Linked DNA regions of Neurospora crassa OR74A. The protein of the gene in region 2 interacts with the protein of the main gene of each other region in a pairwise test. Links are inferred from orthologs where the notes say so. Each region holds a gene or a part of one and is shown on either strand. Other genes may lie near its edges. The genes, in order: NCU09208 and bdp-2.

Region 1 (4,383 bases), on a different chromosome or scaffold from region 2:
TTCCAAGTATTGGAATTAATTTTTTTTTTTTTTTTTTTCAATTATTATTTCAAGGTGCGGTGCAATCTTGCTTTGTAGTTCCTGTCTCTCTTTCAGTCGCTAATCCTGACCGTCTTTTGCTTCTTGGTCCCTGTTGTTGAACTTGGAGTGGTGGAGTGGATGATGTGGGTGATGAGATCTGGGTTTCTGGTACGCTTTTATCAAAAGATACAGGTACCGCTGCATACTTAGCTATGGGACCGGTATAAACAACCGCTACCAAAATAAACATAGAACGCCAGCCCAGACAGGATGAGTATAACTAGACAAGAAGAATTTCAACCTGACAGAAAAGGAAAAAGGCGACGGAATACACATAGGTCTTGTGGCCCATGATCCATTTAGCTTACTGTGGACTGACTGACTGACTTGTTGAAAACTTCAACCCTCCTCAGCGAAGTCAAGAAGCAAAACGTAGTAGAAAGAGAGGATGTCCGGCAAATTAGGAAGAAGGCGATAATAATGAAAGGACCGAAGAAAAGAAGACAACCCAATACCACAGCGTTTTCCAACTTCCTTTGTGATCTTTTCTGCCAACTTTCCTTCTCGCGACACTCGTCGTTGTCCTCTTACTTCACCGGTGAAATCTCGTACCCAATCAACACCTCCGTCGACGTACCATCCCACCCCCTGGTCCCCGCCGCCGAGATCATAATCCTGCTCGTGGGATCGATATACAGACTTGAAATGACGCCCGCCTTGGGGGGACCGGGGACAACCACAAAAGGCACTTTGGAATGCTTCGTCGCTTGCGTCTCGCCCTGCAAGTCCCACAACCGCAAAATGTCGTGCGACGCGCAGATAATATGTCGCCCGTTGGCCATGGGCCGCACGCAACTGACGGCTCCGCTGCCGTTGGGAAATTTCAGGGTGCGCTCGGGCTGCCACCCGCCGCGCGCCTTGTGGATACTGAATTCTTCGACCGTGCCGTTACGTCGGCCGGCATAGATCCAGTTGCCATCGACGGACCAGCAGGCGCCCATGCACCAGGGCGGGACGCCGCGCCGGTTGCCGATACGAGCGACGGGGTCGGGGACCCGTCGGTCCCAGATACGGATGGTGCCGTCAATGGAGGCGGCCATGAAGATGTTGGGGGCCGTTTGGGTGTCGTCGTTTTGCGGGGCAGGAGGAGGGGCTGTGTTGACAACCATGCTGGGGGAGGCTGGGGCGATGGGCTCGAAGGGGATAGGTTCGTGCTCAGTTGGGTGGATGGGGTTCTGGTCTCGTGGTGGTTGTTGTTGTTCCTGATGTTGCTGGGTTTGTTGCTCGGGGTTCGTGGCTGGTTGGTGTCCGAAGTCTGACATAGTGTGACTAGAGTCGCCGTTAAATGTGTCCATGTTGATGGTCCCGTTCTCGGCTGGCTCGATGGCATTGAGCCCGGGTCCCTGAGCAGTGTTCGTGTCCATTATTGTGTCGGTATCCCCCATTGGGAAATCGTCGGTGTGCCCTTGGTTTTTCTGTTCCTCCTCGAGTTCCATGCCCATAGCTCTGGAAAACTCATTGTCGTCGTCATCATCCCCAAAGGCATTCCCACCGCCTATTGTTTCGTTGTCCCCGAAGAGTGACCCTGCAGGACTACCGAACAGCGACTCATGTTCTGGTGACGGGACATCATTCACGGCGCCGTCGTTCGCATTGGATTGCCCCGTCGTATCCATATCGCCATGCGCGCCATTAGAGAAAAAGCCGTTCAAAACTGGCTTCGAGTTGTTACTCTCGAAAGTGTCCGTGATGATCTCGGGATCGCTCGCCTCGGCTGGGATCGGAGCACCCGAAGTCGGTCGTAACTCAATGGCCGATATTTGTCCACCGCTGCCCTCGAACCGCCGTATAACCGAGCCATCGTTGAGGTCCCAGTCCAGCACCGTCTTGTCCCAACTCCCACTCAGCACACTCTTCTCATCAGGCGCCAGTTGTAGCACGCTAACAGCATTAGTGTGCCCGTTCGTCCGCAGGCAGTGTATCCTCTTTCCCTCGTCGTGCCTCACGCTCTGTAAGTTGATGCCACCGCTTTCTAGACCACTCAGAGCCCACAAAGCCTGACGGTGCACCGCTAGACTGTATACCGGAGACAGAATCCTGTCGTCATCTCTAGTGTTCTGTCCTGTCCACTCCTGGTTGTCCCAATAGCTCATGAGCACTCCGGACTTGACAACACTGTCAACAAACGGATGCTTCTGGGCGACAGTGAGTTGTTGCTTGCCATTGATTGTGGCTATGCCGTCAAACTTTCGAATGTAGCCGTCGGATCCGCCCGTCAACCAGTAGCGCATGTCCGGGGTGACGGCTATGGCATTGATGCTGGTGGCTTGTGGGGCGGCCATGGTAGGAACGATGTCGTAGGTGGAAGCCGTAATGTACTCTGGTCTTATCGTTGGTCGCCATTTTGCCCCTGATCCCGAGCCTGAAGGTGTCGCGGAGACGCGTCTGGCTGTCTGGGACGTGGTTTGGTCGGCGGCGTTTGGGTCGTGGGCGTTTTGTGCTTGGGATTCGTCGAAGGGTTCTGCTTCCGGTTCGGGTTCTGGGTCTCGCTCGGGCTCGTCTTGGTCTTCCTGGTCTTCCTCTTCGTCTTCATTAAAGTCTTCGCCGTAGGTGTCGTTCTCGGCATCATCAGCGTCCTCCATGAGCTCGTCCTGCTCATTGTCGGAGCTTCCGTATTCTCGATCGTCTTCGTCCATTGTCCGTGTTGGTAGTGGTTCCGTAGAGGAGTTCAACTATACACGTGGTTATGCCAGGCATATAAGGGTATTGTATTCGATATCGTGTGACTGCTGTACCCAAGAGAAGAAAGTGGGAAAGTTGTGGGGGAAAGCAACCGGAAAGAGATGACAACGGGAGGAAGACGTTCCCAGTCCTGAAGGTTCCCGAATCGAAGCTACACTACATGCAACTGCGGCAGGCATTGATAAGGTTCAACCTCAGTGTTAAGCTTTAGCGGATCAGCAGGCCCGGAACGCTAACACCCCGCATCCCCCGCCGATTGCCAAACATAACAGGGTCAAGTCCTTGAGCTGTTGGCGGTTCAATGTGCCTGAGGTGGTTTTTGTTTGGCGGGCATGCAGCGACCACGCATTGTCCAATTACATGCAGGGCCATCAAGGTGCTTTCCATGTCAACCTCCTGGAATCAGTTCAAGATATCTTGCTGGCTAACATAATGCAAACAGAACGACGTCATGGAAATACGGAAATGAAGACAAGGTGGCAAGATAATGACAAGGAAATCCAACATGGATTGCGATACATCCAAAAGAAATCAAACCCCGAGCAAACAATGCAAACGTACTAGCGAAACCGAATCCTAGAAACAAATGAGGGCCTTATCCAACTCCGCCTCGGGTATGTATACTTCTCTTTTCTTTTCTTCTCTTCTCTTCTCTTCTCTTCTCTTCTCTTCCGAATATGACTGGGCCTAGCCGTTGCCTGGCCTCCATTATCCAAACTCAATCAGTCAGTTCCAGCCCCGTCTCACCTTCGTTCAGCACCACTACCACATACCGCCTCGAGCCCTCTGGCAACTCTTGCTCGGCCGCTTCGTCTGTCGTCTCCTCCGAGATGTGCATTGCAAGATCATGTAACTTCGGATCAGCCTTTGACAACACCTCAGGCGAACCATCGCGATTGATGGCTACGATGTAATGTGGTCGGCTTTGGAGCAGCTCAGGCGGCGCCGCGCCCTCTTCGAATACCACTACGTGCTTCTTGCTTTTAGAGTCCACGGATTCTTCGTCGCCGTTCTTGTTTGACTGTTTTGAGGATTGATCAACCGCGTAGCGGTTTCCAGTAACCAGGAGCGGATCTGTCTCCGGCAGGTGAGGAACCATCTTCATAAGGAGGCGATGCTCGGGGTTCTGGAGACGTGCCGGGATCGGTAAGTCGGTCTCGAAGGATGCTTGAAAGCGGAGTTGGGAGGCTGTAGAGCCGTCTGGCTGAAAACCTTCGCCCGGTGGCAGCGTGGACTGCGTGGTGGTTGCGAGGGAAAAGTTGCCTACGCTAAATTGTCGGCGACGAGTCTTGCTCGTGGAGGAGCTGCTCGATCCCGATGTCAAGTTGCTCCGCTCCGTTTTAGGTGCATGGAGAATTTCGTGATGAAGCTTGTCAAGACCTCCACTATGGCTTGTATGTGGATCTTGGTAGTAAGGCGACCTGTCAGGCGGATCGCCCTTGTCCAGCAAAGGTGCCGCCTCCTCGTCAGACGAATCTGCTGACGATGTTCCGGCGCTCTCAAAATTGGCTTCGGTGAGCAGCCCGCCCAAGAAGAATAATGCGGTTAGTCCTGCGCACCCGCACACCCATGAAAGCGTTGTAGTCAGCCCTCCCCAGCCCGAAACTCCCATAACGGCTA
Region 2 (4,364 bases):
AAGGAAGCAAATCAGCGTCAGAGGAAAGCAGTCCATCGCTGCAGAGTGGTTCGCTCGTTGATCACGACACAGAGTTACAGGCCCAGCCCCAGGTACACAGCTACCTACAGACGTCTACACGTGCTCTTCACTGCCATTGACTACGTAAGAACGGGGCATCGGTGGGCATGGGCAGGGCATGGCATTGGGGAATGGGCAGATGGGACCTGAACGGGGTGGGCGGGGCTTCTCCGCGAAATGGGCACGACTCCACGAGGGAAAAGGAGTGCCCGTGACGGGACTCTCACAAGAGGGAGGCACTAGGGCGGGCGGTGGGAAAGGCATGCCCCTGGACATCATCCCATGGGACCCGGGGAGAAGAATGACGATCCCTGCCTTGCGTTGCTCGTCCTGCTTGACGATTCCTACATCGATATATTCCACGAGCCCGTCTCTATGCTTGCTGTTTTGTGGACTGTGTACCATCTATACTTATCCCTGGAGTGAGAGGCCAATATGTTACTATGGACAGTTCCTACTCAGACACACAGAGACAAGATAGTAAAGCTAGTTTAAGTGACTGACTCTTTGCGTTTCCGGAAACCAATTACCTTAGCAGCGGGGGCGGCTCCGTTCTCTGGTCCATATGATACTACGCCAAAGCCCGGGGACAGGTTCACCAAAAGACACCCATGGAGGCACGGCCAAGGTCTCACGTGACTTTAGCATTTCCCCAGAGCGCTGCTTCTCACTCCGCCAGAGCGGGTACCGTACGTGCTTCCTTGGAACAGCGAAATACCTCTACGTATTCAACTCTTCTTGTACAACTTGGAATTGCCGCGCTCACCGACAGCTCCAGCTTTGTTAACTTTTCCTGGTGCTCGGCGATCACCTGCGCAGAATCCCCATCACCTGTCTTAATTGGGGCGCAAGTCGAAAAAAGGGGCGCCGCAATCACTACCTACCTAGGTACCTATCTGCTGCTAGTGTACGGCTAGACGGGAACTACCTACCTCCCTAGGTACATACCTACCTAACTTCGCGGCGTCGCGTACCAGCTCCAGTGCGGCATTACCCACGGCACCACACCACCTACCACAGGCAACCTAAGGGAATCCAGCGCCAAGTACAGGTAGCCGGTACCTACAACCTGTCGCCCTCTAGATGTTAGTGCTAGGGGCGTGTACAGCACCTCAGTCAACGTCAATTCATAACTCTCCCTAACATCGCCGCTGCTGCACCCGTCACCCGCGACCTGGGCTGCTCTGACCAAAACCGCCCGCCCCTTGTCCAGAAACGGCACGACGGGGAGCCCACTCTAAACTTGACCTCACGTCTGACTTCCCAGCAGAACAGCCGCAACGACATCCATCGCCGCATCACCACCACAGCCCCTATTCCGCTCTCGACTGCAGTTCCATCTCGACCGATGCCCCTCTTTCTCCCCATGTGACCAGGTCGCCCCAAAGTGCCTTGGTGCCGGATATACACGAGCGCACTTTCTGGCGCATGGCGACCGACCGCCGGCCCCGTTTAATATAACTCCACGACCCGGTCCGAAAATGTCCATTACCAACGGTCAGCATGCCTGGCCTCCGCCCTCGACCGCCGCCCACATGAACGGTATCAGGGCCGTCATCCCCCACCCCAGCCAGGACGATGGGCCCCCGCGAACCCAGACTCCCTTTGATAATTCCACCACCGCCTTGATGCCTGAGGCACCGTCCTCCGACCCCGACGACGACCAGCGCCGCTCCCACTTCGTTGACAAGTACCACAAGGCCGACGAGCGGATCGCGCTGCTGTTCGCCGATGACGGCTCCTACAACATTCCCGTCATAGCCGCCTTGAAGCGCGCCCCGACACCCCCCATACCCCTGCTCCCTCCCACGACCGATCACGCGCCGATCCAGGAGCCCCCCCGCAAAAAAGCGAAGCGCGTCATCGACGAGGACGACTATGGCGACGACGACGACGACGACGAAGACGACGACGATCAAGAAAGCGATCACCCCGTCGCGACTGACACCAAACCAGACACACAACTAACATCCAAACATTCCGCCAACGATGCCGCGGCTCGGGCACTCCTCTCCCCGTCCAAGTCCGGCAGCTCTCCCGTCCACTCGATACCCTCGCCAGGGCGGCAAGCAGACCGGCAAACAGCCAAGGAAGATGGATCGCAACCCCAGACAAAGTCCTCCGAGGATGCGCGCAGGGAATTGGAGGCGGCGCGCAATGCGACCGAGGAGGCGGCCAAGCGCGGATTTCATACCCTCTTTTACACACTCGAGAACGACAGGACAGCAATGCTCGAACAACAGCAACTGGAGGAATCCGAGAAGCAACTACAAGCAGAGATGGACAAGTCGGGACAAACAAACCACAGTCAAGGAGCCCCCAGCCAAAACAACCACGGCTCTCTCAGCAGTGCCAACCTCGGCGCTTCAAGTCTTACCCTCAAACACTTGATTGCCCGAATAGACATGAAGCGCGACCGCGTGCAGGCATCGGACGCTGAACTACGGTCGCTTATGAACGAGGTTCGCAAGAACAGGAGTAAATGGGCTAGCGAGGAAAATGTCGGCCAGGAAGAGTTGTACGAGGCACTGGACAAGGTCTTGACCGAGCTTAAGGCGCACACCGAGTACTCAACTCCCTTTTTGACCAAAGTGAACAAACGTGATGCGCACGACTATTATAATAGTGAGTTTTTTTGGGGTTAACGTATGGAACACTCGCTCGCCCAGTTTAGGCTAACACCGTGGTCAGTCATCAAACAGCCAATGGACCTAGGTACAATGGCCAAAAGACTCAAGACCCTCCACTACAAGTCCAAGGCCGAGTTTGTCACGGACCTCAACTTGATTTGGGATAACTGTCTTCGATATAACCAGGACTTGGCCAATCCTCTCCGCCGGATGGCCAATGGGATGCGCAAGGAGGCTGAGAAACTAATCCCCCTAATACCGGACATCGTGATCAGGCCCAGGGCAGAGGTCGAAGCCGAGGAACGCCGAAAACAGAACGGCGGCGAGGACGAGGCTGGCGATGACAGTGACGACGAGCCAATAATGTCATCTCGTGGACGAAAGGCCGGTACCAAAGGGACCAACAAGTCACGGAAAGCACCAACAGACCAAAAAGAAGGGACACCAAGCGTCGACCAAAAACCGATATTGCAACTCAACGGTATCCTAGCCAAGTCTCACAGAGAGGGCTCCGAGGTCGACGGCAGCAATGGATTTGGGACGCCTATCGGCGGGTCCCTTACACCCAGCAACATAAATGGTGGACACTCGGGGGTCAGCAACGCGGATGCCATGGAGCTGGATGGGCCATCACTCAACGGAATGGCCTTGAATCATGCCTTCAGAGAAGCGGAGGAGCAGGCGTATGAGGACGAAGAGTACAAGATCTGGAAACAAGTAACGAAAAAGGATCGTGCTCTTCTGGCAAAGGAGCGTTTCCAGCTGTTCAAGGACAACAAGCTAAATCCCGACGAGCCTGCACTACTGCGAACCAAAGCCGGGATGCGTCGATTCCTGAAATCACGCAAAGAGGCAGAGGCCATGGGCGTGATCACCTCACAAGGCGATGCGCCTGGTAGTGGAGATGGCAACAAGGTGGCAGAGACATTAGCCCAGGGCATGGAGGATGAGACTATTCGGAATGTCCCTGCTTATTACGAACCCCAAACGATCATACCCGATATCCCATCAAAGCTACAATGGGTCGAGGATGGCGAGGGACAAGTGATTAATCAGCATGAAGAGTTCCTTCGGCTCGTCCCTCCCGGTCAATTCACCGCCCCAGAGAGTCGGCTGACCAAGAAGTTCGATGCCAACATTCGGCAGATGCAAGAGACTCGCAAACTGTGCTCCAAGATCAGCGTCATCAAGCAGATGCAGATCCAGACTCAGGTAGGCTTTGCGAGCCCAATGAAGCGTGATTCTTTTTCACCTTGACGGCTTAGATGCTGACATGCAAATGAATAGGTATATACGAATCAGTTCCCGAAGTATAACCCGGAGCCGATGGTGGAAGCCGATATCGAGCCCACCTTTCTCGCCGGCGAAGGTCCCGTCATGGCCCCCGAGGTGTGCAGGGCGGCATTACAACGATCCGTTGCCAAGATCTTCTATCATGCGGGCTTCGAGGAACTGCAGCCCTCCGCCCTGGATACGATAACCGACATTGCTGGCGACTACTTCCAGAAGATTATCCGGTCATACAACATATACCGTGAAGCCGAGTGGAAGGAGCCACCGCCTGCATGGAAGGAAAAGGGGGTAAAATACGTGCCCAGATTCACGAACGAGGAAGTCATCTTGCACACATTGAGCGAAAGTGGCATCGAACTGGATGCGCTGCAGGCCTACGCC

Evidence for each region.
Region 1: the proteins of bdp-2 (region 2) and NCU09208 interact in binary tests that used the Saccharomyces cerevisiae proteins (3 or more experiments, as listed by UniProt). The link is inferred for Neurospora crassa OR74A from reciprocal best matches to the Saccharomyces cerevisiae genes SPT7 and SPT8.

What each region holds. Positions count from the first base shown.
Region 1 is NC_026501.1:5,840,476-5,844,858, reverse strand, and holds NCU09208 (transcription factor SPT8), read right to left. Parts: upstream 2,892-4,383; 5' UTR 2,718-2,891; coding exon 609-2,717; 3' UTR 39-608; downstream 1-38. Other genes in the region: NCU09207 (hypothetical protein), read right to left, coding at 3,482-4,383. UniProt on the Saccharomyces cerevisiae protein: Component of the transcription coactivator SAGA complex. SAGA acts as a general cofactor required for essentially all RNA polymerase II transcription. At the promoters, SAGA is required for transcription pre-initiation complex (PIC) recruitment.
Region 2 is NC_026507.1:3,090,947-3,095,310, forward strand, and holds the start of bdp-2 (transcriptional activator spt7), read left to right. Parts: upstream 1-1,264; 5' UTR 1,265-1,541; coding exon 1,542-2,685; intron 2,686-2,751; coding exon 2,752-3,902; intron 3,903-3,977; coding exon 3,978-4,364. UniProt on the Saccharomyces cerevisiae protein: Component of the transcription coactivator SAGA complex. SAGA acts as a general cofactor required for essentially all RNA polymerase II transcription. At the promoters, SAGA is required for transcription pre-initiation complex (PIC) recruitment.